7 linked regions of the Mus musculus genome follow. The protein of the gene in region 1 binds, or shares a complex with, the protein of each later gene. Links are inferred from orthologs where the notes say so. Each region holds a gene or a part of one and is shown in the gene's direction. Other genes may lie near its edges.

Region 1 (4,233 bases):
CAAATCAAGAGGAAATGACAGTGGCCTGAAGGAGTGTGGTGACAAGCAAAGGAACTTCAGGGTAATTTTCACAATACTGGACAAGAGTGGCAGGTGAACAGGATGTGACGAGGGAAGGAAGAGGGTCTCCATCTTTGGGTTTGAGTCACTAATGTGAAAGCGGTGTCCTTTGTGTGAGGCTCAGGGCAAAAATATGAAGCTTTCACCTTCTACTTGGGGAGCGGGCACATTCGGGAGGGAGTGGGTTCTTTTCTAATTCTCTTTCTTCATTTAAAAGTTCCAAAGGAAGGACAGAAAAGAACGGAAATGTTCAATTTTAGGAGACCCTTCCACTTGAGATAAACTGGAGAACAGAATCCTCTTTACCGAGCATCGGCCGTCCCCAAGATCTCAATGATGGGGCACAAGACAACGTTGGCGAAGCCATCTTAATCCCATCTCGTGCTCCTCCTGGCAGTTAGGCCCACTGCTCCATAAATTGTCACTATCGTAAACGCTCACAAGCATCTCCCCTCACGCTACAACGCTTAATGCATATAGCTATATATCTATATATTTATATATCTTAACAAGCAATGCGACTATAACCCTTGCCTTCAAGGCTAGTGGTTTCGCAGGAATGGTACCTTTGGAAAGCTCGTGGCTGCCCCCGTACTTATTTGCGCCTTCTTCATATCCACTTAAGTGACAACTCTAGTCCCTAGGCTGCGGGGTCTACTGAGGAGCAGGAGCCGTTGGGTCGGTCAGTTGGCAAGCTCTCCTCACATCTCTCTTGCGAGACGCGGACCGGCTCCTGGCGCCTCCGTCCTCGCAGAACCGCAGCGAACGAGTCTGGGAGGGGGTCGGGAAAGGAAAAGACGCAAGAGAGATTAAGTAATTGGTTCGCAAAGGAAAAAAGATGATATTTGGGGTCGACTATGAAGCACCGGTTTCAAACGCCCGCCCCCTAAGCTGCCTTGGCTCCGCCCCTAGGCAACGTCATTCCATCTTTTTCCCGTGTCTTTGCTGATTGGTCACTGCGTCAGCCTGTGAGAGACGGTTTAAAAAAAAAAAAAAAAAAAACACACACACAACTCCGGAATTGCTTCCGGGTGTGGAGTTCGCATCTTCTCCACAGCCATTGGAAGTGCGAAGGTTTTGCTTCCGGGTCTCAACCGAGCCCCTGGTGTAAAAACTGGAAGCTCTGCATTTTGTTTCCGGTCTTGGGCCTGGCGCCCCCGGCGCCGAGATTTCTGGGAGCTAAGGGTCGCATTGGTTCATGAGTGAGTTTCGGAAGGTGCTGCGTAGGACCCCCGCCAGAGTGAGCAGCCGGGCATGGTGGTTTGTGGTTCTTGTGTGGGTGGCACCGGGGAGCCGAGTCGCCGCCGCAGCCCGTGACGATCGTACAGGCCGCGGTGCAGGGATGGTGGTCCGGAGCTGAAGCCGAGCCCGGGGCGGTCACCGGTGCAGCGCCTCAGACACTGAGAAAAGCAAAGGAGGGTGGGATGGGGAGAAACTCCCACTTCACACACGATCTGTGTGAGCAGCTGCTTAAGCTAACGGAGATTTAGTAGCCCTGCAGTTAGGCTGCAATTCTTATTTGACAGCTAAAAATGGCAAAGGTTCTCTTGTAGCCTAGGCTAGCTTCGAACTCCCGATTCTTTTGCTTTCACCTCCCAAGCTCTGGAATCACAGGAGTACCCCCATCATACCCAGTTCAGGATGGGTTCTTGATACTTGGTTGGGTGGAGTTCCGATTTTCTGAGCATCGCGGAAGTTACAGCCTTGATAAATGTTGTGGTAACTGCTTTAGAAGAAAATTGAGTCAACAAGATTCTGGGGTAATGGTTGCCCATGTAAATGTCACTGGGGACTTTAAACAAATTTTAACATAATAAGTTTGACTGTGACTTTAAAAGAAATTTGTTTTTTATTGGGTTCTTTGCTGTAGTGTGAGGTTTCTGGTAGAACAGCAAATCTTGGCCGGACAGTTACATTGTGAGATCCTATAATTAAAAAAAAAAAAAAAAAAGAATAAATTTTTTTTAAAAAAGAATAAAATAAAATCTCAGAGAAGCTAGTGCTAGTGGGATAACATTTTTTTAAGTCATTTATTTTAAAAGCTACACTACACTGTTGTGCAAGATCTGACATCATGTATGGGAATCTCATAATACTATAGAAATGTCGGCATTCCACAAATGACAGAAACGAGCTAGAAGACTTGCCCAGGGCTACCCAGCCAGAACAGAAGCACTAACTCAGATCTTCATAGTAGTTATTTATACTGAATAAGAGTTGCCTAGTAAACACCCTGAGTTTCATAATTCGGATTTTTAGGAACTTGTGTTGAAGCAAACTAAGCAATTTTGGGGAGTTTGAGAAGGATTTAAGAATAGATATTTTTGAGTTATCTGTAAAATGAAAGTATAACTTAAATTCACTTTTGCCGAAGACTAAAAGATGACAACAGCAGCCAGGCCAACTTTTGAACCTGCAAGAGGTGGGAGAGGAAAAGGAGAAGGGGATTTGAGCCAGCTCTCCAAGCAGTATTCAAGCAGAGATCTTCCCTCTCATACAAAGATAAAGTACAGGTAAGAAGGCCTTCATTTGTCTTGTTCACAGAATGGGACCAAGCCTCTCTCTATATATATGTATGTATATATATGACTTATGGTCATGTCTAAATTATAGTATTTAGGTTACTGATCTCCAAAGAGAAGTATTTCAAAAAAGTTTACAATAAAATTACGCCCTACAGGTAAAGTTGCTAGACAGTCTTCCAGCATAAGTTCCTTTGAACCAGGAATTGCTATGTGTAGATGAAGCACTCATTAGTCATGATAATCACATCAGAGAAGACGGAGCTGTAGTGAATATGGAAGTGTTGCTCTAACAGCCCTTGAATTGGTGGACTGTTTTAAAAAGCCGAAGACATGGGTTAGAGAGATTTCTCAGCAGTTAAGAGCACTGCTCTTCCAGAGGTCCAGAGTTCAATTCCTAGCAACCAGATGGTGGCTCACAACCATCGGAGGGGTCTGATGTCCTCTTCTGGTGTGTCTAAAGAGAGCAATGGTGTAGTCATATACATAAAATAAATAAATCTTTTTTTTTAAAAGCCAAAGACATTCTGTTGTAGGCAATTGTGTGCTTTAGTTTGTTGTTCTAGTGATAAGGAACACTACGAGTGTATTAACCCTCAGATTGGGATATTGTCTTATCTTCTTCCTTTTTGTTGTTGACAGACAGTTACATTCTGGATTGTCTTAAATTGTTGAAGCTATATAGGTTCTTTTCCTTGACAAGTGAGGCCAACATTTTTGACGTGTTTTGTTTTGTTTTTCCTACTTAAGACAAACCACACAGGATGCCCCTGAAGAGGTTCGAAACCGTGACTTCAGGAGAGAACTGGAAGAGAGAGAGAGAGCTGCTGCAAGGGACAAAAACAGGGACCGCCCAACTCGAGGTACCCGTACTGTCCGTCATGTCTGTCTCAGTTGTGTGCAGAAACTGTGTGTATCCTGGTAATTGGAAATAAGTAGCATTTTTGTGAGCTGTATCTCTTTGATGAATGATTAGAGATGAGAATGAGGTTTGTTCCAGTCCCATGCATTGATACTATCATGCATTGATACTAGGCCTTCTGTCTGGGACACCGAATGTAATTGAAGAGTTTTGAGAGAAGCATCAGTTATCCTTTTTGTGTTTCTACTACATGTGAGCATTGGGTAGGTCTCCTAAGATGCTGTGATCTGCATTCTCACTAATTCATTTCGTGTAAACCAACAAATATTTATCAAAGACTTACTTGCCAGTCACAGGGTGGATCCCGGGTGTCACTATGCTTTGTGTGGATTCTTTTTGCCCAAAGGTTTCTAAAATGGTTTTAAAAATTTAGTACTTGGGCTGGAGAGATGACTCAGTGGTTAAGAGCACCACCTCTTCCAGAGGTTCTGAGTTCAATTCCCAGCAACCACATGGTGGCTCACAACCATCTGTAATGGGGTCTGGTACCCTCTTCCAGTGTGTTAAAAGAGAGTAATGATGGTGTATTCATTAAATAAATAAGTAAATAAATAAATAAAAACCACTCTAGTACTTATTTCAATATGCTAAGTAAGTGTTTGTTTTCTTCAGAGCATACAACTTCCTCTTCAGTGTCAAAGAAGCCCCGCTTAGACCAGATTCCTGCTGCCAACCTTGATGCTGACGATCCTCTCACAGACGTATGTGTTTTAGTTTTGGGTTTGGGCT
Region 2 (3,405 bases), on another chromosome or scaffold:
CCCCAAACTTTATATTTTTTGTTTTTGCAAGACAGGGTTTCTCTGTGTGGCCCTTGCTGTTCTGGAACTAGCTCTGTAGACCAAGCTGGCCTCAAACTCAAGGAAATTTACCTGTCTCTGGGATTAACCACCACTGCCAGGTTCTTCCTCTTCTTCTTCCTCTTCTTTCTTTCTTTCTTTCTTTCTTTCTTTCTTTCTTTCTTTCTTTCTTTCTTTCTTTCTTCCTTCCTTCCTTCCTTCCTTCCTTCCTTCCTCTCTCTCTCTCTCTCTCTCTCTCTCTCTCTCTCTCTCTCTTTCTTTCTTTCTTTCTTTTGACAAGATCTCTTATTTCTCTGGAACTTATCAAGTAGGGTAGGTCTGTCTGTCTTCTCTCTCTCTCTCTCTCCTTCTCTCCTCCCCTCCTCCCTCTCCCTCCCTCTCCCTCTTTCTTTCTTTCTTTCTTTCTTTCTTTCTTTCTTTCTTTCTTTCTTTCTTTCTTTCTTTCTTCCTTCCTTCCTTCCTTCCTTCCTTCCTTCCTTTCTTCCTTTCTTCCTTTATCTCCCACTCTCTGGAAATTATCAAGTAGGCTAGTATTCTTATCTAGCCTCACAATGCTAGAATTACAAGTGTATGCCATCACACTAATATTATGTGGGTTCTTCGTATTAACCTCAGGTTCTTATTCTTATAAGGCAAGTTTTACCAACTGAACACAGTTCCTTATAGACAATCAGTTGTGCTTTAAATTGTAAATTCTCACAGTTTTTCATGATGCTGTGCTTTAGGGCAATACTTCTGAGTGTTTTTTTTAAACTTCGTGATACACACAGAATATGAAGAGATTTGCATGACACCTGTAGTATATCAAGGGAGGAGGGTGGGCTCTGTGCATAATTGGTCTAGAGGGCTCACTTGCCCCCAGGCCCCATTTAGCTGCCCAGAGTGCTGTGCATTAATGTATGCCTTCTTTAATCATTTCTTTATACAAGGCAATGGGTGTGCCTCAAACCTTGCTTCCTTAGTTGTTTAAATAGTCTGATGCGGGAGCTCTTTGCTGAAACATTTCCCCTTTGCTTAGATTAAAGGAAGAACTATCCGTGTGGACCATGTGTCAAACTACCGGGCTCCTCAGGAATCAGAAGATGTGGATGATGTGACTAGAGAGCTCCAAGAGAAGGGCTGTGGGGTTAAAACACCCCCATCAAGTCCTCCTGAAGTCTCTGAAGATGAAGATGCCAAGCTCACAAAAAAGCACAAAAAAGGTAGCATATTAAAACTCAGGAGAAGAGTGGGTAGCCTTAGTGTCTTTGCCAAGCATGCACAGATAGTCAACAATCCACTCCTCATTGCAAAAGGGGAAGGTGTGAGAATGCTTACTGTGGTCACGAAAGCAGAGGTATCTAAGGGAGGAAGGCTAGTCGTGCGGGCAGAATTAATGTGCTCTGAAACCCTTGCGGATCTCAAAGTGATATTGTTTTTGGAGACAGCCCTTCTGTGTGGGGTTGTTTTGTACAACTTGACCCATCAGGAGTAACAGGTGTCCTATTTGATTCTTAGAGACATTTGTCAGGAGGCATAACCTGTGACTGCTTCCTGCTGCTGCCTGGGATGTGTATAGTACATGTGCATTCTCCATCTGCTAGCTAGCATGGGGACGTTTTGGAATGTCTCAGTTTTACATGATCTACAGAGATAAGAAAGGCACATTTTAAAGAGATTTTTTTTGTGTGTGTTTTCTTTTTCTTCTTGATTGCCCCCTTCCAGACAAAAAAGAGAAAAAGAAAAGGAAGAAAGAGAAGACGGAAGGGCAGGCCCAGGCAGAGCAGCCGTCCTGCTCCAGAAGCGCGACAGTGAAGGAGAAGAAGGATGAGCGCGCTTCCAGGAAGCACAGTAGCAAGACTTCCGAGAGAGCACAGAAGTCAGAACACAGAGAGAGCAAGAAGAGTCACTCGGGCTCCCCTGATGGCAGGAGTTCCTACCATGCTAGGGCAGAGGACCCTGAGTGCAAGGCAAGGAAAGAGAAACCCAAGCATGAGCACAAGTCCGCCAGCAGGAGGGAGGCCGAGGAGAAGAGCAGAGAGAGGGAGAGAGGGAGGAGCTCGGGGACTCATTCCGGCAGGCACAGGGGGCATTCTGATGGGCGGAGCCATAGAAGTAGAAGTAGGAGTAGGAGTCCAGATAAGTCCCATAGGCACAAAAAGTACAGGCACTCTCGGGAGCGGGACTCCTACCATGGCAGTGACCGGAGACATCACTGAAGCCTGATTCAGCTGATTTTGGTTGCATAATGTCAGTTTCTCTTGGTTGCTGTTATTTCTGTATATAAAGATTCAAGATTGAATTCTTTCAATCCCTTACCTGACAGAGTTGGTGAAAAGATCAATAGCTAGATATCTACATTAAAAACAAACAAACATGATCCGTTGTATCTGGGAAAATATTTAGTATTGACCAGAGTATGTGCCTAAAATTTGGCTTGTAAATTTGACCCTTAAACCCACAAACCTCTGATTTAAGATGAGATTGCCAGGGAAGTCAAAACACAAGGCAGTGCTGGAGTGCTAGTCTCCACGTTAGCTATTTAGAGCCCAGCACTGTAGGGCCTACCAGACGGCAGGTACACCTGTGAAGAGTTGCAGCTCATGAGATTTGATGAGCTTAATAAGGATGTGATAGGATTCCTGAGGCCAGCCAGTTCCTTCCCCTTTGCATTTCCTCTTGCCATGCTAGGGATGGAACCCAGGTCTTTGCACATGCCAAGTGCTCTGCTACTCAGCTAGAGCCCAGTTCCCTTTATTTGGTTTTTAGTTTTTGATATGGTTACAGACATGTCTGTGTATTTTTTCTTTGTAACTTATTTATTTGTATTGAGATGAAATTCATATAAAATAAAGTTAACCATTTAAACAGTTCGGGGCATTTGGTCCACTCAGTATTGGATTACTAAATACGATTTTCTTGTATCCGAACATTGTTTATACATTCTCTAGTCGTAGTAGAGACAATCCCTGAATGAGCACAAACAGGCTTTTGTTTCTGTGGATTCAGCTCTTTGATACTTTTCTCATTTCTGTGAAAAAAGCCCTATCACTTCTCATGCCCACTCAAATTCATAACCTTTTATTCTTTAATTACTTACTGTTACTTATAAATATTGAATAATTAGATAAATGGAACCTGATGGAGTCTGTTTAGTGTACATTTAGGTTTTAGGGTTGACCACTTGTTTAGATAAACATTTAGGGAACTCTTCTTGGGGCAGACTGATTTTCCCTCTCATTAGTCTTTAATTGCCCATAGTTCTTCACCTAGGGCTGGGGCCTTTGAGATTTTCCCTATCCACCCTGGCAAGTGAACGATGTAATTCTTGAGCTCTCATGTGAGCAGCCACATTGCTAATAGACTCATGTCCCTTAGAATCTTTCC
Region 3 (4,517 bases), about 32 Mb from region 1:
GAAATGTAAGCACCCAAGATTAGCAGCTGACGGACGAGGCAGCTGCAGCCCTACTGTGCTCCTTGACCTTCTTTTGGAGGTTTTAAAGTCGGCGTGAGAAGAATCCCAGAAACACCAGGCGGTCTGCCATCACCGTTTGCCTGTCAGCTCTCTGACCTCCAGTGCTGGACCTTTGAAGTCTGGGGAAGTGAAATACAAGTTTCTGCTGGCTCTGGGCATGTGAAGTACTGACTCAGCAGGGAAGGATGTCGGAGGGGCCGAGCAGGCACAGGTGAAGACGCCACATTAAAGTGATGGCCTTTAAACGACACCCGCCTCTGCGTTCATGTCCTTACTGATTACCATGTGCTAGACTAAGCTGGGTCACACTGAGTCACACTCAGCTCCGAGGAGACTGAGGACAGCTTGGGCCATGCAGTGAGAGTCCGTCTTCATGAAAAGAAATGAGGAAGGAAAAACCAGTTTAGTTTCCTAAGCAAATCTTTCTTGAGGTGGCTGCTGTAGAGGCAGCATTTGATTCACTCCAATAGGCCATCCTGTCTGCTCTGAGCCAGGTACACCTGTGTGGAGTCTAGCTGTTCTCATGCAGCTTAAAGCAGTCTGGAAAAGCAGGGTGGCACACACCTTTAATCCCAGCAGAGGCAGGTGGTTCTATGAGTTTGAAGCCGATTTGGTCTACAGAGGAAGTTCCAGGACAGCCTGGGCTACACAGAAAAACCCTGATTCAAGACAAAACGAATTCAAACTGGATAACCAGCACCATCCTTGTTTGGCCTCTGCTAGCAAAAATTAGAGCCAGGCAGTATGAAGATGTGTGGGTTCCTGTACTTACCCGAAAGTTCTTATTATCTATAAAGGAGGCTAATAAAACTGAAGGGTAGGTCATGGTGTCCAGCCACTTGAGAGGCTGAGGAGGAAGGCTAACAAATTCAGGGGCAGCTTAGGCAATTTAGATCTTCAACATTCAAAAGAGTGGGGATGTAGTTCTATAGAACTCCTGCATACCATGTGCAAAAGGCCTTGGGTTTAATCCTCGGTGCTGGATGAAAGAAAAAAAAATTGTGAGGGTTAAGTGAGAAGTCATAAAACACTTAACCCTTTATAGAAGAAACTCCAGAATCTTCCTGGTTTCTTTGCCACACTGACCACGAATCCATTTCACTGGGAAGAGTTTATATCATTTTTTAGAAAGACATATCAAAGGTGAGAAGGTCAGTACAGGTTTGATAAAAACCTATCAAACTTTTATAGTCACAAGTTTGACTTCCCCTAAATGGTACCCGGAAGCCTCTTCCAGCAGACTTCCCACCAAAAGGTATTTATAGCAATAAAAGTGATTGAAATTGAAACGTTTGGTACAGCGTCCATTATTAAAACGCTGCTCAAGAATGTGCCCCTAGTGGTACAGCTATGGTAAGTCCCACCATTCATACAGGTGTTCTTCCTTACTCTGGCGCTGATGCTGCCAGGGTAGGATCATGTTACATCGGCCTGTGGCTTCTCAGCTGAGACAGCGTGGGCTGCAGGCTGTTGCACCGATTCGTCGTCTCAGGAAAAGCACAGCCAGCCCGAGATGCACGCACTCTCCCCTGGAGCCTCTTAAGGCTCAAGTCTTTAAGTCCAGCAGTTCAAAAAGTCCCCGTCCTAAAGCTTCCGCTTCTGGCTCCACCCCTACCGTTTCGCGTTGAAGAATTTTGTCCCCCACGCCGAGCTGTTGCCCCGCCCTCGCCGCTGCCATGGCGGCAGCTCCGCCACTCACCAAAGCTGAGTATCTGAAGCGTTACTTGTCTGGGACAGATGCTGGCTTGGAAGGAGGTCCCGAGGCCGGTCGCAAGCGGCGCAAAAAACGGCCGAAGCCTGGAGGCGCTGGCGGCAAGGGGTGAGTGGACTGGTGAGGTGTCGCGCTGCCCGGTGGCGCCCTCGGCCGCAGCTCTTCCTCGTCCTGGCCCGCGCGGTGCTGCCGACCCCGGCCCGAGCTCAGGCCCCGCTCCACTGCCCCGGGGCGGGATTGTAGCTGCCACTGGCAGCTCAGACCTCATCCTCTGAGCAGCGCCTTCCTTGTGTTAAAGGCAGCTAGAACTTAACTCACTTTCTCCCCGCGTTTGTAGCTTACGTCGTTCCATGTACAGATTGAAAGTCGTGTCCAAGAATAGCAAAGCTGATTCAAACCTTTTTCTTTCTCACTTTATTTCTCTCTTTCTCCCTTCCCTTCTCTTTCTTTCCTTCTTCTTTTTCTCTTCCCTCTTCTTTCTTTCTTTCTTTCTTTCTTTCTTTCTTTCTAGATCCAAAAATCTCTTTCTGAGGGTTCCAAAGTGCCAGGAACTGATCTGGAATCAAAGACCCATATCCTATTACTCACATCTACTACTAACAGTAACAACTAAAATGGGAACAGTTCACATCCTGTGCCTGGCCTCTTTCTAAAATAGTTGACCATATAGCTTTCAGAACATTGTAATGGAGCAGACATTTATATTAAACACTATACTTCCAGATTGCAAAGAGATGTGCTGAGACAGAGTTCAGATGAAATGTCCATTAGTAACTTGGCCACTGGAATCTGGAAAGGTTGGGTTAGGATATCCAACATCAACCTACAGAACAAAAGGAAATGTCTGTATTTGTAGGCTTTAGAGCAGCAGCCCTAAGTTTAGCAGCTTACTGAAGGTGCTATTTTGGATAGAAAGTTGAAACTCTGGGGGCTAATTCCATTCTCACACTCCACCCCCAGGTCTACTAAATGCTTATCAGCTTAAAGAGAGTACTAGATAGGATACAAAGTGTGGCTCACCCTCTCTGTGGGGCAGTATCATGGTCTAACAGTATTATTACCGTATGGTCCATTGAACTGGGTCGAATTAGTCCCTCATTTCCACACTTCTCTTCATTAGAGCTTGAGCATGACCTCATTTATAGATGGAATCTTTGTGGTGTTACCAGTTAAGATGAGCCTATATTCAGTTAAGGTGGTGTTGAATTCAGTGTGGCTGATGTCCCTGGAAGAAGGGGCAATGGCATGCAGGGGGAAAGTTTAAGCTTTGGAGCAATACTGATTAGAATTAGAATCCTAGCTGTGCTACTTATAGCCTGAGTGGTCCAGGGCAAGAGATGTTCATCTCAGCCGGGCGTGGTGGCACACGCCTTTAATCCCAGCACTCGGGAGGCAGAGGCAGGCGGATTTCTGAGTTTGAGGCCAGCCTGGTCTACAAAGTGAGTTCCAGGACAGCCAGGGCTACACAGAGAAACCCTGTCTCAAAAAACCAAAAAAAAAAAAAAAAAAAAGAGAGAGATGTTCATCTCTCTGAGCCTGAAGTCCCAGCCCCTTACTACTTGTCTGAAATGGTTGTTGTGATTAAAGCTGTGTCATGTGTTCCTGGCATTTCAAATAACCTCCTCCTTGCAGCACAGTTCATCTGTGTGGCACACATTTATTTATTGGCTTGCCACCACCTTACAGTAATTGGGGCACTGGTTCCTGAAGCTCAAAATGATACACTATTTTCATGTCAACTATTCACATCCTCTTTAAATCATCCTTAGATTAATTACTTAAAAGCCCACTACAGCTTAGGTAGTATGCCAGTAGTTACGTTATATAGGCCATTGTAACTAAAGAAAGTCTATCTGTTTAATACATTGGCCATTCCTTTTCCCCTGGTTGAGTTTGCAGTTGTGAAGTCCATGGGTGTGGAGGGCTGAATACCTCCTGTGACAGTTGTGTTGAAGAAGCCTTGATGAACAAAAAATGTATTAGTCAGCAGGATATGGTGGTAAAAGTCTATAATCCCAGCACAGGGGAGGCTGGGCTGGAGGATAGAGAGCTGGAAGCTAGCTATAGGGAACAACAACAAGAAGAAGGGAATAAATAAGAGAATGCCTTAGCCCTTGGCTGTTGGAACTTAGAATTTAATGAGAATATGGGCTGATAAATACAAATGAAAGCATTCTAAGAGTGTGTAGAGGTATTTCTACTCTGGGAGTAGGAGACAGTGAGCAAGAAAGATAGGTCCAAGGAAGTTATTAAAAACCAGGGTGTAGTGGCTATTCCTGGTTGTCAACTTGACAATATTTGGAATGAACTACAATCCGGAATTGGAAGGCTCACCAGTGACCCTTATCTTGAGGCTTGGAGATCCTTATCTGGATCTTGGTTTGGAGATCTTGAGCCATAGTGGCTATGGATTCCAGAAGATTGAATCTCCCAGTTTAAGGAAAACACCTTTAATCTGGGCTACACCTTTCATCTGGGATTAAAGGTGTGGTGGAACACACCTTTAATCTGGGCTACACCTTCTGCTGGAGACAATATAAGGACATTGGAAGAAGGGAGTCTAGCTCTAGCTCTTGCTCCTTCGCCTGCTTGCTGCGTGAGACTGAGTAGCTGCTAGATCCTTGGACTTCCATTCATAGCTGCGACTGAACCATTGTTGGGAATTGGGCTGCCGACTGTAAATCATCAATAAATTCCTTTACTATCTAGAGACTATCCATAAGTTCTGTGACTCTAGAGAACCCTG
Region 4 (3,925 bases), on another chromosome or scaffold:
AGCCGGGCGTGGTGGCGCACGCCTTTAATCCCAGCACTCTGGAGGCAGAGGGATTTCTGAGTTCAAGGCCAGCCTGGTCTACAAAGTGAGTTCCAGGACAGCCAGGGCTACACAGAGAAACCCTGTCTCAAAAACCAAAAAAAAAAAAATCTAAAAAAACTTTTTAGAAGCTAGAAAGGGGGGCTGATGAGATGGCTCAGCAGTTAAGAGCGCCCACTGCTCTTCCAATGGTCCTGAGTTCAAATCCCAGCAACCACATGGTGGCTCACAACCATCTGTAATGAAATCTGATGCCCTCTTCTGGGGTGTCTGAAGCCGGTAGTAGTGGCGCACACCGGTAGGATTTGCTGATGGGGTGTCTGAAGACAGCTACAGTGTAGTCATATAAACAAATCTTTAAAAAGAAAAGAAATGGAGAAAGAAAGGGGGATGGAAAAGTACAGAAAAGAAAAGAAAAAAAAAGAATCTCGGGCCAAGATCTGGGAAGTTAGGCAGGATTCAGGTTGTTTGCAAGACCCAGCATCCTCTTTCAGAGCAGATACTTCCTTAAAAGAGATAGCCTAAACCCTATGTATTTTCCAAGTTAGAGTAGCAGGAAATGACAGTTTGTCCCTATCAAAACTATTGCCTTTACAGGAAGGAGTGTACTGAGCTTGCACTATAGGGTAGGCTGAAAACATGCCCAGTACATAGTTTCTGTAGGAAAATGCTCCTGTATTGTGGTAACTTCTGTAAACTACTCCTTGGTTTTCTCACCTGTGAAATGGGTAGAGTGTGACTCCATCTATCAGCAGGATATAAGAGTAGCTCTAATAAATATTAGAAAGGCCCTACCAACCAGGCTGGTTCTTGCTGTGGACCTCATTCCCTCTCCCTCATCTGTAGATGTGAGAGAAGATATGCTGGAGACCCTGATTCCCAAGGGAGAAGGCCACCGTGTGATGGTGGTGCTCGGACCACATGCTGGAAAGGTAAGTCCCATGTCTGGAAATAGGAGTCTGAAGATCAGATCACTGTGGATGTTGGCTGACCTTGCTTACTCTGCCCCATCCTTCCTCAGGTGGGACTTCTTAGGAGTCGGGACAGAGCGCAGAGTCATGCTTTGGTCCAACTTAGGAGAGAGAACCAGGTGGTGGAGCTCCACTATAACGCCATCTGCCAGTACATGGGCCCCGGTGACTCAGATGAAGACTGACACATGGACCACTGCCCGTCGCTCAGATGCCAGGGAGAAGACAGATGTTCTGTCCTCCTTTGAGATGCAAGGATGGGGATGTGACTAGATAGAGCAGAACTGTTTACCAAACTTTAGAGTGTGATAAAAACCATTTTAAATAGTGGAAAGATGAAATCAAAACCAGTATGTAAACTGTAAATTTGGGTGGAAGCTGAGATAATCAAAGTGGAAACACTTCATTTCTTAGCCTCATTTCCCTGCTGAGGGTTCAGGACAAGTTAAATTCCCCATTCAGTACATAGTTTACCCTTGGAACATGAAATCTATGAAGTCTGTCCCCAGACAAACACAATAGAATCTGCAATGTTGCATCTCAGAACAACTTCCTGAGTTTGGATCTTGAATGGTCTTCAAAGGCTCTTTTTTTTTTAAGATTTATTGTATTTTGTTGTTGTTTTATGTGTGTAAGAGAGAACGAGTATGTGATTGTGAATACAAATGCTTCCAGAGAGAGAGAAAATATGTGAATGCTCAGAGACCATTAATGTTGAGTTCCCCAGGAGTTGAAGTTACAGACAATTGTAAGCTGCCCTGCATGGGAGCCCTGCATGGGAGCAGACTTGGATCCTTTGGAAGTACAGTAAGCACTCTTAAGCACTGAGCCACCTCTCCAGCTCCTGTGCCCATATGGTAAAGGACTCTTGCTCGGGATTATGCTAGTAGCACATACGTTTGACCTCTAGGAATGTCTCTGGGCTGATAATGCACTGAAGAGAAAGGGGAACTTCTGCCCATGAACAGCACGGGTTGGCTCCAGTTTCCAAAGGACTAGTCACTTCTAGTCCCCGAACATGGCTTAGGTTAAAAGGTATTTCTGACTCGTGCACTTTCTTTGCTTGCCATGGGTGATTAGATTCTTTTTAAAAAAAGGTTATTGTTGAGAATCCTGAACCTTTTTCCTGCTTGATGGTTGGAGAAGAAAAGTCAGAGCCTTAGACACAATTGTTTCTAGATAATCCCTAATATATATAGTATTTAAGTTAGGCCTGTGCCACAGGTTAAAATACCCAACTTGTCAGCCCGCCACACACACTGAAAAGAATCAAAACATCCCAGAACACAATGAGACTGGTAAATGTGGCTAGAACTGGGCTGAACTCTCTGGCCAAAATAAACAGACAAAAGGACATGAGTCACACAGAGTGTGGTGGCCCATATCTGTAATCTAGCACTTGAGAGGCTGAGGCAGGAAAATTTCCACGAGTTCCAAGACAGTCTGAGGAGCTTCACTGAAAAACCTAGCAGGAAATGTGCTAGGTGAAGTAGCACACCCTTTGAGCTTCGCAGGCAGGAGAGAGAAGTAGGCAGATCTCCATGAGTGCGAAGCCAGCCTGGTCTACAAAACAGGCCCCAGGCCAGCCAGAACTCCTAATAAGAACCTATCTCAAATAGGAAAGGATACTGTGGTTTTCTCCCTTCCTATTGTCCCTTTTATGTCTTCTCTTATCTAATTGCTATATCTAAGACTTTGATACTGTAGGGGACAATGGACATCTCATTCCTGATTTCCGAGGAAATGCTCAGTGTGTCTATTTAATATAATGTTGGCTATAGATTTATTGTATATAGCCATTATTATTTTGACATATTTCCATGTATTTCTACAGTCTCACAGCTTTTATCACTGTCAAATGGATTTTCAGCACTTACTTTAATAATTCATGTTTTTCTGTCCTTGAGTTTGTTTATATGCTGTATTCCATTTGCTGTATATGTATGTTGAAACACCTTTGCCTTTTGGGAATGAAGCCTACTTGGTCATAATGTGTAATCTTCTCAATGTGTTCCTAGATTCAGTTTCTAAGCATTTTGTTAGGATATTTTAACATAACATTTTTATTGACTCTCTGAGAATTTCACATCATACATCCTCGTCACACTTCCCAGTCCTTCCATGTCTGTCCCCCACACTACTTTGTGACCTCCCTACCAAAACAAGTTAAAATAAAAATAAATAAAAATTAGAAAATAAAACTAAGTCGCATTTGTGTTATCTCTGTAGTCACTGGAGCATAGTCAGACTCTCTGTGGCCTGCCTCCTAAGGAACTGAGTCCTTCCTCTGTAGGCTAGTACTTTTTGGAGAGTTGGGATAGGGGTTGTCACAGAAGCCTTTCGTGGTCTTCTGTCTTAGCTGTACGTCTGCAGTCATCAATATCACAGCAAAAGTAGCCTCCCTGCTCTTCACAGCAGAAGTTTCTGATGACAGCACAGACCTTGAACATGGCCTCAAGCTGCAGTAGGACCACAGACCCAGACGAGGCCCATCCAGTAACAAGGACACCAACATGGCCTCAGGTCACAGCAAAGACCATGGTCTTCAGTGGTAACATGGGTCACAGACATCAATACAGACCCTGGCTGTAGTAGGACCGCAGACATGGCTCTTATCGGCAGTACATGCCAGATGTCACCATGGCCTCAGATGGCAGTGCAGGCCGCTCAAATTAGTATAGTCCTAAGTCTGCAGCACACAGCTCAGATATCTGCATGGCCCTCAGTAGTAAAATAGGCCACAGACATCATCACAGTTCCCTGTGGCTAGCTTCTGCCATGCCTGCCTAGGGATTTTTGCATCTATGTTCAAAGAAATTGGTCTATAATAGTTTTCTGTTCTTTATTTTCTTTTCCTTTTTTTTTTTTTTTTTTTTTTTTTGTTTTTTGAGACAGGGTTTCTCTGTGTAGCCCTG
Region 5 (3,797 bases), on another chromosome or scaffold:
TCTTCTCTGTTATTTCTTTGCCTTCTGTCCATACACATGATATTGGAATCTTTAAGGACCTGGCTTCTAGCTTTCCACTCTTTTTCATTCCACTAATCATGTGCTTCCAGTCAGCCATTCCCTCTATTTCCTGAACATTCTATTTCCTTTTCCACAATCCTCATATTAGCTAGCTTGCTTGTTTGCTTCCTTCCTTCCTTCCTTCCTTCCTTCCTTCCTTCCTTCCTTCCTTCCTTCCTCCCTTCCTTCCTTCCTTCCTTCCCCCCTCTCTCTCTTTCTCTCTCTTTCTTTCTTCCTTCCTTCCTTCCTTTCTTTCTTTCTTTCTTTCTTTCTTTCTTTCTTTCTTTCTTTCTTCCTTTCTTTCCATGTTTTTCACTCTCTTTTTATGGAAGTAAAGCCAATTTTTATCACTTTGTTCAAAGTCTGCTTTCCATAAAGCTTACCACCTGGCCTGATTCATTATCACTCTGTGTCATAACATGATAATTTTTCTTTATAAGAAGCTTTGCAAAATTTTATATTCACTTAGTATTTTTTATTCTTGAATAATTGTTTATGCAGCTTTACATTTCATACAGTTTTCACAGTTTCTTGTTGGCGTATAGAATGTACTACATACGACTTTAAATGTCTCCAGTGGTGGCAAGTCATTGTCTTCCAGTTAGACCTGATTTTTAGAGACAGTGTTCTTTGTGGTGTCAGAAACAAAGTATTTAAGAATCCAGAGTGTCCTGTCATATGATATGGACAAAGCTCTCCAAATAGAAGAAATTAGATAAATCTATCATGACAGGGGAAAGTGTAAGGACATAATGATAAAAGAATCCAGTCCCTCAGATGAGACGAAGAAAACAGGTCTGCAAAGACCATTATTAGTAATTGCTGTGGCAGGCAGGAAGGAAATAAAATCAGACAGGTAGTTTAGTTAGAATAACTGTCAACAAAGCTAAGAAACACATGAGACAAAGAAAAGTCTGACTTCTGGTAATAAGTTTAAAGAAGCTCAAATTTTACAGGAAAGTGAAATCACAAAAACACTAGAAAGGATGAATGGTAAATTGCAATCCGTGGAGCAGGTGAATAAATAGACAGAAAGAATCTGGACAGAATACAGCAATGAAATAAGCATGAGGTTCAGTTGGGGGCTGACAAAGCTTACCTGCATCAAAACGAAAAAAAATATCCTCCCATTTTTATAAGTAGAAGAAATGAATGGAAATTTTACAGACATAGAGATAACCAGAGCAATATTTGTAATGATTAAACAGGTAAGAATTGAATGAAATTATTGCTAACTAACTGAAAACCTGAGAAGACCGGTGGAGAGATGGCTTGGCACTTCAGCTCTTACGTCTGCTGAAGACTTAATATTTAGGACTGGCTGCCCTGTCAGAGGTCTGGGGTCCAATTCCAAGCACCCGCATGGCGGTACACAGTCAGCAGCAGCTCTACTTCTGGAAGATCCTGTGCTGCCTCTGGCCTTCATGGTCACCAAGCATGAATGTGGTGTGCAGACATACATGCAGGCAAAACATGCATACACTTGTAAAAAGATAGGTATTTCTTAGGTGAGTCAAATAATGTAGATAACTCTATTTAATCTTTAGGAAGAATGATTTGAAGAAGTTACAATATTTCTGAGTCTTATAATGCACCTTTCAGTATAGCAATAGCAGCAACAATGTGTAGTTTTCAGAATAAAAGCAAATGATTGAAAGCATGGATGGGAGGGGCTGAAATGTAAATGAAGTAAATACCTAATAAAAAGTTGGAAAAAAAAAAGAAAGGTGGTCATATCCTTTGAAAAACCCAAATATCTGTAATTATAGATTTAATCTTGGACTTAAAATATAAAATTGTTACAAAGGAAGGAAAAGAAAGCAAAAGGCAACAGTTTCAGTTTTCTTAGGGGATGTCCTATGCTTCTGTCCTACTTAACTAGTGTTTTCCTTCTCAATGATTCTGGTCTCATACCAGGCATTCTAAGGGAGACCACTGATGCTGCATATTTGTGACTAGAAATTATATTTTTATATATAAATAATTTCTGAAAAATCACTTAGATATTTAATTAGAATAAAGTACGTTATTTCACTTATTGAACGTAAAGGAGACTGCACAGACAGTGCTAGAACTTCTATCTGCAGGTTTATATTTTTTGTACATTATTAAGTTAATTTTCTATCAGGAGAAATGGAAGAGGCAAAAATGAGCTATCTCCTACCTAGGCTTCTGAGCCCCAGCAGTGCTAGCCTTTGGGATTGGATATTTTTTGTTGCAGAAACAATCCTTTGGGCTTCAGGATGCTTAGCAGTATTCTTGCCATCTTGTACAAGATGCCAGTAGTATTTCCCAGTTTTCCCAGTTTTGATAGCCAAAAATATTTGAAAATGTTGATAAATGCCCCCAGGGTGCAGAATTGCTTCTTCTCTTTCCTCCAGTTGAAAGACATTGGTGTGTATTAAACTTCTTATTTTTAATTTAAAAACAGTAATTTATAATTGATAATTATGGAGATTAAAGACAAACAAACCAATCCCCCAAAACTAAACCACCATTGTCTCTGTAGAAACATATAGTGTTTGAAAATTGATTGTTTTCTAAGAAGTGGAGAGGAAAGGTTTTGGTTTAAAAGCCAATTTAGCATTCTGGAAATTAAATCTTGTGGCTCTGTTTGTATATTAACTGTGATAATTAAAGTGATACTAACTTTTAGAACTTGATATATTATTTTTCAGCCTACTATGACAACACCATTTTTCATAGAGTTGTACCTGGCTTTATAGTCCAAGGTGGAGATCCCACAGGCACTGGGACTGGTGGAGAATCTATCTATGGAGCCCCATTCAAGGTCAGATCAATTTACTTGCAACGCTTCTTCAAAAGTGATCGTGTCCCACAAGAATGTCTCATGTAATATACAAAGTCAGTGGAGTTAAAGTTTTTCAGAGATCAGAGCAAATACTACCTACCGAGCAGTCTTTCTGATTTATTTTATGGGAAGCCTTTGTGCTGAAGGCCTAGAAGGCAAAAGTCAAGGTATTTGTCTATCTGGCTCCTGGTGAGATGTACTGTATTCAGATCTTAAGGCTAATATATTAAAGAAAAATAGTCTCTGATGCTTAAAAGGCACTTATTGTGCTAGATGGGTGTGTCATAGATGATTCCAATGTTCAGTCTGAGGGGAAGTTCTGAGTAGCTCTCAGAATACAGAAAGCAACTGAGAAACAGTGGAGCCCTGCACTGTTACACTCTGCTAAGACAGACTCATGCCGTCTCTGAGAAGAATCAACTTAGAATGGTTTAGGACTTTTAAAAACACAGTGAAATCACATTAATGCACTTATAGAAGATTCTCAGAATTGAAAAACAAGAAGAAACCCATCACTTCATAACATGTGCAACAATAGCTGGTGGCTTTACAGTGGTTCAAAGGTGGGTTTCTTGGGAACACTGGACTGTTTTAAAGGGTTGGAGGACTCTGAGGTGAGTAGGAAAATGAGACTTAGACTCTGACTCCCTTTGAGCAGCATCCTTCCTCTGTAAGTAGACTTCCAGAAGATAGTTACGGGGCTGAATATATTTAGAACATACAAGCTGCAGAATTCAGGTTTAAGAGCATTGAACAGATAGTAAATTTGGATTTGATTGTACTTCAAAATCAGTTAAATAAAGCTTCAGTATTTTTGATTAGAAATTGTCTGAGTCTTGCTGGTCTGCTGCGTAGCTGATTGAATATGAAGGGTGTTATGACTTGAGAACAGTCACTAAATCTCTTTCATTCTTGCAGGATGAAT
Region 6 (4,418 bases), on another chromosome or scaffold:
ACACAATGTAAATTCGTAAATACTCAAATCCAGCTTAGACTAACCAGGATTATAACCGAGATCAACTTTTCCAAAGCTCTTGGTTGAACGTACACTGGATAGCTTATATAGTCTCACAATCTTTTTTTCATTACCTCTTAGTCTGGAAGATATTTTACAAAGAATGTATGCTAACTACAGCCTGAGGGGTTGAGAGGCAACGTGGAGTAATATTTTATTACCACAAATCCTAAAGGCAAAAATGATTGGGTTTTGTATAGGCCCTAAAGACAAAAAATAGCAAGATTTTCTCATTATTTTATCTGATCACAGCCTTCCCTCCCACCTATCCTCCTACTCCCTCTCTTCTCTCCTTTCCCCATCTTCTCCCTTTCTCCTCAGAGAAGGGGAGGCCTCCCGTGGATATCAGCCTTGGCATAGCAAGTTGCAGTAAGACTAGGCCTATCTTCTGTTGAGGCTAGACAAGGCTGCCCAGTTAGGGGAAGGGGGTCCAAAGGCAGAGTCAGAGACAGCCCCTGCTCCAGCTGTTAGGGGTCCCACAGAAGCTGCATATCTGTTACATGTGTGTAAGGATCCAGGACTGTCCATTGCAGCCTCTTTGGTTGGTGGATCAGTCTCTGTGAACCCCTGCGGGACCAGGTTAGTTGATTCTGTATGGCTTTTTTTGTGGTGTCCTTGACCCTTCTGGTTCCTTCATTCCTTCCTCCCCTTCTTCCACAAGATTCCCAGAGCTCTGCCTAATGTTTGGCTGTGGATCTTTCCATCTGTTTCCAGCAGCTGTTGGGCGAAGCCTCTCCTGTCTGGAAGTGTAGCAAAACATTAATAGTGTCAGGGGTGGGCTTGCTCTCATGGGATGAGTCTCAAGTTGGGCCTTGATCATCCCCTCAGTTTCTAGTCCATCTTTATCCCCACACATCTTGTAAGCAGGACAAATTTTGGTTTTGTGGGTAGATTGGTGTCCCCATCAATCCATTGGAAGTCTTGCCTGGTTCCAGGAGGTGGCCATTTCAGGTCCTATATCCCCTGTTGCTTCAAGTCTTATGGTCACCCTAGCATATTCCTGTGAGTTTCCCTTTTTCTGGGCTTCTAGCTCTCCCCTGAGTTGCCTCCACTCCAAGGCAGAGCTTCTAAAATGAGGCATTTTATAGTTATAATTACAGTCATGGAAGGGATGAGGTGTTTGCAGTGCTGCGGACTGACCTGGTTTTGCCATTGAGCCGCACCCCTCAGGTTGTTGGATCTAAAAATTTAATTGGAAAATAGGCGCACATTTCTAGTTTCTATAAAAGAACATTCTTAAGGGACCGGCTGCGAAATGAGGATAAAGCAAGGGAGCGCTAGAAGCCCAGCACTATGTGAGTCTAAACAATGGAAGGTTAAAGGATGTGGAAAATATATTTCTCCCCTCCAGCCAAGTCCAGCAACCACCTCTTCCGAAGTCTGCCCTACCCACTCCTTCAAAAAAAAAAAAAAAAAAAACGGCACCCATACAAAGAAAGGCACCCCGGCACGCCAGCACGTGATGCTTAGGCTTAGAGCCTAGTGGCTATAATTACCAACTGCGCGTGCGCCCGAATCGAAGCCCCAAAGGCAGCGGCGTGTGTGACGTCATTCCAGGCGCAGGCGCAGTGGAATTAGAACCGAGGCTGCGCAGACTCAGAAGGCGCTCTTGAAGCCTAGTGCCGCGCGATGGCGGGCACGGGCTTGGTAGCCGGAGAGGTGGTGGTAGATGCGCTACCATATTTTGACCAAGGCTATGAGGCACCCGGCGTGCGGGAAGCGGTGAGTGCGGGTCATGTGCGGCGGGTCCGCCGAAGGCACGCCGCCCTTTCCCGCCGCGACCCTGGCCTGTTCTCGTTCTTAGGCGGCGGCCCTGGTGGAGGAGGAGACGCGCAGATACCGACCTACCAAGAACTACCTGAGCTACCTGACGGCCCCGGATTATTCTGCCTTTGAAGTAAGTGTGCCTTTGAAGTAAGCCAGGAGGCTTGCGGACTTTGATACGGGAGTGAGGGCTTTAGCTGTGTAAAGTGAACTCCACCTTCCAAGTTAGCTGGTGCCTGCAGCTCGTACTGAGTGCCATGTAGGTGTGAGTCGGTTTGAAACCGCCAGATGCGCATGTCACGGGCTTCGTACTACAAGAACCTGCGAAATGCTCCATTAGTTTCTGCAGATTTGTTTAATAGTGTGCACCTCCGTGTGTGTGTGTGTGTGTGTGTAGAAGAGTCATGGTACATTTCACAAAAGGGCCCTTTATTCTCTAAGGTCCACTCAAGAACAGGTATCACTCACGAGATTTTAATATTTATAATCTTAAGTACCTGTACTCTTTGCCACCCCTGGAGGGAGATTCTTTTGTACCAAGTCTCAGATAGTTAACAGGTGTATGAATGCCTGAACAAGCATGTCTAACTGCATGCTGTTTTTAAGTGGTTATTCTACAAGTGCAACCAAAAAACACCACTTAGATGTTGTTAGAAGCACTTTCAGGCTGAAAGGAGACTGCTCCATGCGCAGGGATGTGTGATACTTCGGATCTAGATGCCAGGTTTTTAAACTGGGTTGTGACTCCTCAGTGGGGGTTTCATAACTGATGTGGGAGCTGCAAGAAATTTGGCAAGAGTAAAAAGTACTAACCCAGAAATTAATTGAAAACTCAAGTCCCAGATCTAAGCTCTGGTCCATGTTACATCATGTGACTTCACCATTTACACTGTACCCAAACAGTTTACACTGTGTCAGTTCGTCATGCAGCAGCGGAGACTTCCTGAAATGATTCAAGACTGTTGTGTGTTGTGAATTACAACGTGACGTGGGGCTGGGATTAAAGCTGTTTTCAGAGTTCCACAGCTGGCTGACTACAGGGCATTGAAAACTGCTGGTTTAGGGTTAATCCTTGAGAGGTGGACTCTTCTATGTCCACCTCCTTTCATGCCTGGGCAGAATATGGAATTAAAGAATATGCCTATTTCTTCAGATTCTAGATAGAATTAACCTCAACTGGGGGATGTGTCAGTGGCCCTGGGTTCAAATATTAGCATCCTTTTTTTTTTTTTTTTTTTTTTGAGTAGTGATTGAGAAGGGAAAAGATTCGCTATAATGTGTAGTACAAAGTATAAAATCTCAGTAAACTGCATTCATTATTTTCAGCATGATTCTGTTACTAATTCTTTGTGGTGTTTGTGCATCAGACAGACATAATGAGAAATGAATTTGAAAGACTCGCTGCTCGACAACCGATTGAATTACTCAGCATGAAACGGTAAGATGAGGTTGAGCTATGGTAACAGCTGCTTTGCCAGTGGTTGGAAGAGTGTTTGTGTTTGCTGCTGTGGGTAGGAAGTGAGAATAAAAAGAGAGTACCAGCCGGTCGTAGTGGCGCACGAGGCAGAGGCAGGCAGATTTCTGAGTTCGAGGCCAGCAAAGGTCTACAAAGTGAGTTCCAGGACAGCCAGGGCTACACAGAGAAACCCTGTCTTGGAAAAAAAAAACAAAAAAAAACAAAAAAAAAGATTTATTTATTGTTATACATAAGTACACTGTAGCTGTCTTCAGACACACCAGAAGAAGGTGTCAGATCTCTTTATGGATGGTTGTAAGCCACCATGTGGCTACTGGGAATTGAACTCAGGACCTCTGGAAAAGCAGTCACTGCTCTTAACTGCTAAGCCATCTCTCCAGCACTGCTTATCAGCTTTTTAAAAAGTTGCCTAAAGGGCTGCTGAGGTGGCTCATCGGTTAAGAGCACTGACTGCTCTTGCAGAGGTCCTGAGTTCAAATCCCAGCAGCCACATGGTGGCTCACAACCATCTGTAATGCAGATCCGATGCCCTCTTCTGGTGTGTGGAAAGACTGCGACAGTGTACTCACATACATGAAATAATTAATCTTTTAAAAGTCTTTTTTTTTTTTTTTTTAAAGCTGATAATTAGACATTACCTAAGAAAGGTCATGATAGACAAATAGGAACAAGAGACATGAGAGTCTTGGTGACTGTCACAGCTCATTTAACTAGTTCACATTTATGGAAATAGGGTTTTTTTTGTTAGTTTTATCTGTAAATCAGTTTCCAAACTAACAGGTTTCTTTGTACTGCCTGATCTACATTATATCCTTGGTCTCTGTGCATGTGTGGTCGGGAGTTGATAATTTGTGTCTTTGTCTTTATGTAGTGGGCATATGTCCATGAGAATTCTGTTGGAAGGAGTGATGAAGGCTTTGAAAGATACATTGGTTTGTTTGTTATGTAATTTCAGATATGAACTTCCAGCCCCTTCCTCAGGTCAAAAAAATGACATTACTGCATGGCAAGAATGTGTAAACAATTCTATGGCTCAGTTGGAGCACCAGGCGGTCCGGATCGAGAATCTGGAGCTGATGTCACAGCATGGATGCAATGCCTGGAAGGTGTACAATGA
Region 7 (3,797 bases), on another chromosome or scaffold:
TGGGTTCAAATTAAATTTTAAACATTAAAAAAATTCCAAAAGGAGCTACTTCGTTATAAATATTTTTAGCTAATCTCAACAAGAACTTGCTTTCTTTTCAACTTCTCTGATCATGTATCAGCTAATTTACAGCCTCATTTTCTGGTTGTAACTTGTAAATTGGAGTTTCATATGTTTTAATCTTATAAGCTCAAAACTTTCTCTTACTTGCCTTGGGGATACACAGTCTCTAGACTTAAAATATGGGCACAAGGTATGCTCTGTGGAGGAGGGTACATTCACACACTGGGTAGGGCTACTCTGTCCCTTTGTTATTTAGCATTGAGAACATGTATCTGGTCCCCCTAACCTGCCTTTCCTTTAACCTCCTCGTATCTGGTGGGTAAACAGTTTGCCCTGGAAAGGGAGCAAGATTCCTTAATGGCTCTCTCGTTTCTGTTTCCCACAGGCCAAGATGCCCTTCGATGCCAACAAGCTGTACTGTAGTGAAGTGCTGGCCATCCTCCTCCAGGACAATGACGGTGAGTGCCCTCACAGAGACAGGCCAGGCTGGGAGCCACACTCAGTCTCAGATCCGGTGAACTTGCCTTTGGCATCGCCTGGGCTCTCTGCTTGCTCTCCGTGCAGCTTTTGTACTCTGTCAAGCTGTATTGATTTTGTTAGCTGACGGATCAGTGGTAGACGGCTGTAAAATCTGACAGTTGGCTTCTTTTTTTTTTTCTCCCTTTATTTTCCTTCTTTTAGAAAACAGGGAATTGCTGGGAGAGCTGGATGGCATTGACGTGCTTCTTCAGCAGTTATCCGTGAGTACCTGTTCCTGTGGGCCTGCTCTCAGTGGGAGGTAGAAGTAGAAATATGGGAAGGGGCAGCCACATGGGGACCAAGGGCAGGTTGGAGGTCACACTGGAGCACAGGGCTTACCTTTTTTTCTTACTCACTGGCCCTTTCTGATCGAGTGTCATGGTGAAACTGGCACAGCCCTTCCCAACTGCTGATCCAAAAGTAGGGAGAAGTAGGGAGCTCTCCTCTGTCCCCAGCCAGGATGAGCCAGTTGTGTTCCTTTCTAGCACCCAGCACGGTTCAGCTCCTTCCCCTTTGGTCCTTCCCTAGAAGAGTCTGTCTGCTCACTGAGGTTCCAGGGGAGCGCAAGGAGAGCAGTTTCCAGCTCCATGGCACGAGGGTCGTGGTGGTCGGGACAGTAGGGATGGTTGTGGCACTGCAGGCGGGAGTGGGAAGGTGGAACGTGCCTTTTGCTGGTTGAAAGCAATGTAAATCCAGTTGAAATGTTACCTGCTGGCAGTCTGGAAGTGCCATCAGGGTTCCTCCTCAAAAACCTTATCTGTGTTACTCCAAAACAGCACTGAAAATAGATCATTTGGATACAGGCTGAAGAGTGTTGAGTGTCTGAGACGGCAGTTTGCATACAGCTTTCCTGCCGTGCCAGCCGCTGAGTGACTTGGCCTCCACCCTAAAAATAGAGCTTTGTGGTGGGAAGCTGTTTGCGGTTCCCATGAAGTGCTGTGCAGTCACTGATTGCAGCCCCTATGGGGCCACCTGCCCAGCTGGCTCAGGGGCTCTCCCAACCCGTGCTCAGCGCTGACATGCACAGCTGCCCAGATGCATGCCTGGGCCTCGGAGCCCCTGCTATTGAGTGAGGGGAATGCAGCAGCCGCGCTGTGAAGAAGCACCTCTTCACCTAAGATAGGATCGGCTACTCTGGGTTGTGGGTACCGTAGAAAGGGGGTGAAGTGGGGCTGGACGGAGCAGGGACAAGGCTGTAGGGCTTTCTGCCAGAGTTGGTTTTGGAGCTGAGCTGTGGTTTCAGACGTGTTCCCTCTCAGTTTCACTGTGTGTGTCCAGTATGGCCTTGTCTCTTTCTGATTTTCACAGAGGCCAAGGCCTGAGGTGTGCTGTTTTGTTTGGCTGACTTGCTGCCTTGACGCTGTCAGTCAATCTCGGCCCAGTGCTTGGCTCAGTGTTTTTATGTGAACTTGTATATCTTTATTTAGTGCCCACACCTAGAAAGCTCAGTTTCTCTAAGCTGGAAACTGGCGAGAGCTTCATTAGTAGAGTTCACTTTCCTTGGTGGGCTTTGGAAACTGTAGGGTGCGCATTTTTTAATGGCTCCGTTCTACTCTCCTTGGCAGGTATTTAAAAGACACAACCCCAGCACCGCTGAGGAGCAGGAAATGATGGAGAACCTGTTCGATGCGCTCTGTTCCTGCTTAATGCTCAGCTCCAATCGAGAGCGCTTCCTGAAGGGCGAGGGGCTGCAGCTCATGAACCTCATGCTCAGGTTTGCCCCAGTCCTCACTGTGCCTGTCTGTCTGCCCGGCACTGCTAGCCTGACTTTAGGATGCGTAGCTGTGGTCCTTCAGTCCCTTGAGTTTCCCATTCATCCAGACAGTGTTCATTTAGGGATGTGTCTGAGCTTTCCTGAAGGGTGGGCTGGCACATAAAGCTGTGCCTCGTTTGTGTGCCGGGTGTCAGTTGGTGACGCAGCCACTGCCCTGAGGATCATGTCCTTGTTTCTTTTATTGTGTTGGTTTTGGAGAAAGCTAAGCATTACCTTTTGGGCTTGTTCGTCTCAAAATCTGTATGCTCCATAGATCTCTCTGTCTATATTCCTGCCGTTGACAGCAAAATATTCATATTTATTCATTCAGTAATGAATTCTGTGTGTGCCGTGTGCCTAAGCACAGGGAATATGAAATATGAAAGATGCTTCTACAACTGTGGGCTTATACTTCCTTTAATGTATCTTTTTTGTTCTGCTCTACTCTCTAAAGACAACACTGCTTCAGCTTCTCAGTTAGTCCAAAGAATCTTAAAGTTGGAAATAAAGTGGAGAAGTGGCTTGTTTGGGTGTTTTATTGAGAAATGTGGCTGGGAAGGAAAAGAGAGTTCCTGAGGAGGTGACCAGAATGGAGTACCACTAAGGGACAGCATTTGAAATTGAGAGGCTCTGGGTGCTGCTTGCAAACACATTAGGAATTTTCTAATCATGGAATTCGTGGAGTTGAGCCGGGGTCAAACATCGTAAAACCTCTAGTCACATGCAGTGACAACTGAACAAAGATGTCTCTGAAAGTGCCTTACAAATTGGACGTATACTTATTAAGCATAATTTAGACTGTGGGTGTTCATTCTGTTTTCTTTTTTTTTTTTTTTTTTTTTTTTTTTTTTTTTTTTTTAAAGATTTATTTATTTATTATATGTAAGTACACTATGTAGTTGTCTTCAGACACTCCAGAAGAGGGAGTCAGATCTCGTGATCGGATGGTTGTGAGCCACCATGTGGTTGCTGGGATTTGAACTCCTGACCTTCGGAAGAGCAGTCGGGTGCTCTTACCCACTGAGCCATCTCACCAGCCCCCTCATTCTGTTTTCTATTAGGATATTTTTAGTTACTGTGTTTGTTAAGTGTCTTGCCAACAAGGCCGAGTCCTCCCAGAAGCTAAAATGCCCCAGTCTGTCACCCAAGAGTAGCCCACCTTTGGGCAGATAGAGTCTTCTTGGTTTTATTGTCAGTACTACTATTATTATATCATCATTTATTATTATTTTGGTGGGAGTTACTTGTTTGTTTGATTTAACATTTAGTCCTGCCACATTCTACCGTTTCATATTGTTTCCTTTTTAACTTCCCGTGGTATTTGTCATTCTGTGACATAAGTGTCATGAGAGGGCAGTAACTACTTGAGGGACACAAGGAACATTGCGGCCATTTCCACTATCATGACGTAGTCTACAATGACCAGTTTTGTGTTTTAAATGACTTGGGGATTATCAATGTA

What was found.
Region 2: Cwc15 (region 1) and Rbmx2 share a complex: the UniProt entries of both Homo sapiens proteins name them as parts of the minor spliceosome. The link is inferred for Mus musculus from reciprocal best matches to the Homo sapiens genes CWC15 and RBMX2.
Region 3: Cwc15 (region 1) and Bud13 share a complex: the UniProt entries of both Homo sapiens proteins name them as parts of the minor spliceosome. The link is inferred for Mus musculus from reciprocal best matches to the Homo sapiens genes CWC15 and BUD13.
Region 4: Cwc15 (region 1) and Gpkow share a complex: the UniProt entries of both Homo sapiens proteins name them as parts of the minor spliceosome. The link is inferred for Mus musculus from reciprocal best matches to the Homo sapiens genes CWC15 and GPKOW.
Region 5: Cwc15 (region 1) and Cwc27 share a complex: the UniProt entries of both Homo sapiens proteins name them as parts of the minor spliceosome. The link is inferred for Mus musculus from reciprocal best matches to the Homo sapiens genes CWC15 and CWC27.
Region 6: Cwc15 (region 1) and Bcas2 share a complex: the UniProt entries of both Homo sapiens proteins name them as parts of the PRP19-CDC5L splicing complex. The link is inferred for Mus musculus from reciprocal best matches to the Homo sapiens genes CWC15 and BCAS2.
Region 7: Cwc15 (region 1) and Ctnnbl1 share a complex: the UniProt entries of both Homo sapiens proteins name them as parts of the PRP19-CDC5L splicing complex. The link is inferred for Mus musculus from reciprocal best matches to the Homo sapiens genes CWC15 and CTNNBL1.

What each region holds. Positions count from the first base shown.
Region 1 is NC_000075.6:14,499,482-14,503,714, forward strand, and holds the start of Cwc15 (spliceosome-associated protein CWC15 homolog), read left to right. Parts: upstream 1-1,137; 5' UTR 1,138-1,300; intron 1,301-2,434; 5' UTR 2,435-2,442; coding exon 2,443-2,573; intron 2,574-3,332; coding exon 3,333-3,445; intron 3,446-4,116; coding exon 4,117-4,205; intron 4,206-4,233. UniProt on the Homo sapiens protein: Involved in pre-mRNA splicing as component of the spliceosome. Component of the PRP19-CDC5L complex that forms an integral part of the spliceosome and is required for activating pre-mRNA splicing.
Region 2 is NC_000086.7:48,707,833-48,711,237, forward strand, and holds the end of Rbmx2 (RNA-binding motif protein, X-linked 2), read left to right. Parts: intron 1-1,057; coding exon 1,058-1,241; intron 1,242-1,743; coding exon 1,744-2,237; 3' UTR 2,238-2,887; downstream 2,888-3,405. UniProt on the Homo sapiens protein: Involved in pre-mRNA splicing as component of the activated spliceosome. As a component of the minor spliceosome, involved in the splicing of U12-type introns in pre-mRNAs.
Region 3 is NC_000075.6:46,281,295-46,285,811, forward strand, and holds the start of Bud13 (BUD13 homolog), read left to right. Parts: upstream 1-1,717; 5' UTR 1,718-1,736; coding exon 1,737-1,879; intron 1,880-4,517. UniProt on the Homo sapiens protein: Involved in pre-mRNA splicing as component of the activated spliceosome. As a component of the minor spliceosome, involved in the splicing of U12-type introns in pre-mRNAs.
Region 4 is NC_000086.7:7,707,051-7,710,975, forward strand, and holds the end of Gpkow (G-patch domain and KOW motifs-containing protein), read left to right. Parts: intron 1-885; coding exon 886-971; intron 972-1,060; coding exon 1,061-1,195; 3' UTR 1,196-3,211; downstream 3,212-3,925. UniProt on the Homo sapiens protein: RNA-binding protein involved in pre-mRNA splicing. As a component of the minor spliceosome, involved in the splicing of U12-type introns in pre-mRNAs.
Region 5 is NC_000079.6:104,806,774-104,810,570, reverse strand, and holds part of Cwc27 (spliceosome-associated protein CWC27 homolog), read left to right. Parts: intron 1-2,738; coding exon 2,739-2,851; intron 2,852-3,790; coding exon 3,791-3,797. UniProt on the Homo sapiens protein: As part of the spliceosome, plays a role in pre-mRNA splicing. Probable inactive PPIase with no peptidyl-prolyl cis-trans isomerase activity. As a component of the minor spliceosome, involved in the splicing of U12-type introns in pre-mRNAs.
Region 6 is NC_000069.6:103,170,084-103,174,501, forward strand, and holds the start of Bcas2 (pre-mRNA-splicing factor SPF27), read left to right. Parts: upstream 1-1,571; 5' UTR 1,572-1,689; coding exon 1,690-1,782; intron 1,783-1,864; coding exon 1,865-1,957; intron 1,958-3,150; exon of another isoform or gene 3,151-3,191; coding exon 3,192-3,262; intron 3,263-4,256; coding exon 4,257-4,418. UniProt on the Homo sapiens protein: Required for pre-mRNA splicing as component of the activated spliceosome. Component of the PRP19-CDC5L complex that forms an integral part of the spliceosome and is required for activating pre-mRNA splicing.
Region 7 is NC_000068.7:157,817,307-157,821,103, forward strand, and holds part of Ctnnbl1 (beta-catenin-like protein 1), read left to right. Parts: intron 1-448; coding exon 449-521; intron 522-744; coding exon 745-803; intron 804-2,147; coding exon 2,148-2,296; intron 2,297-3,797. UniProt on the Homo sapiens protein: Component of the PRP19-CDC5L complex that forms an integral part of the spliceosome and is required for activating pre-mRNA splicing.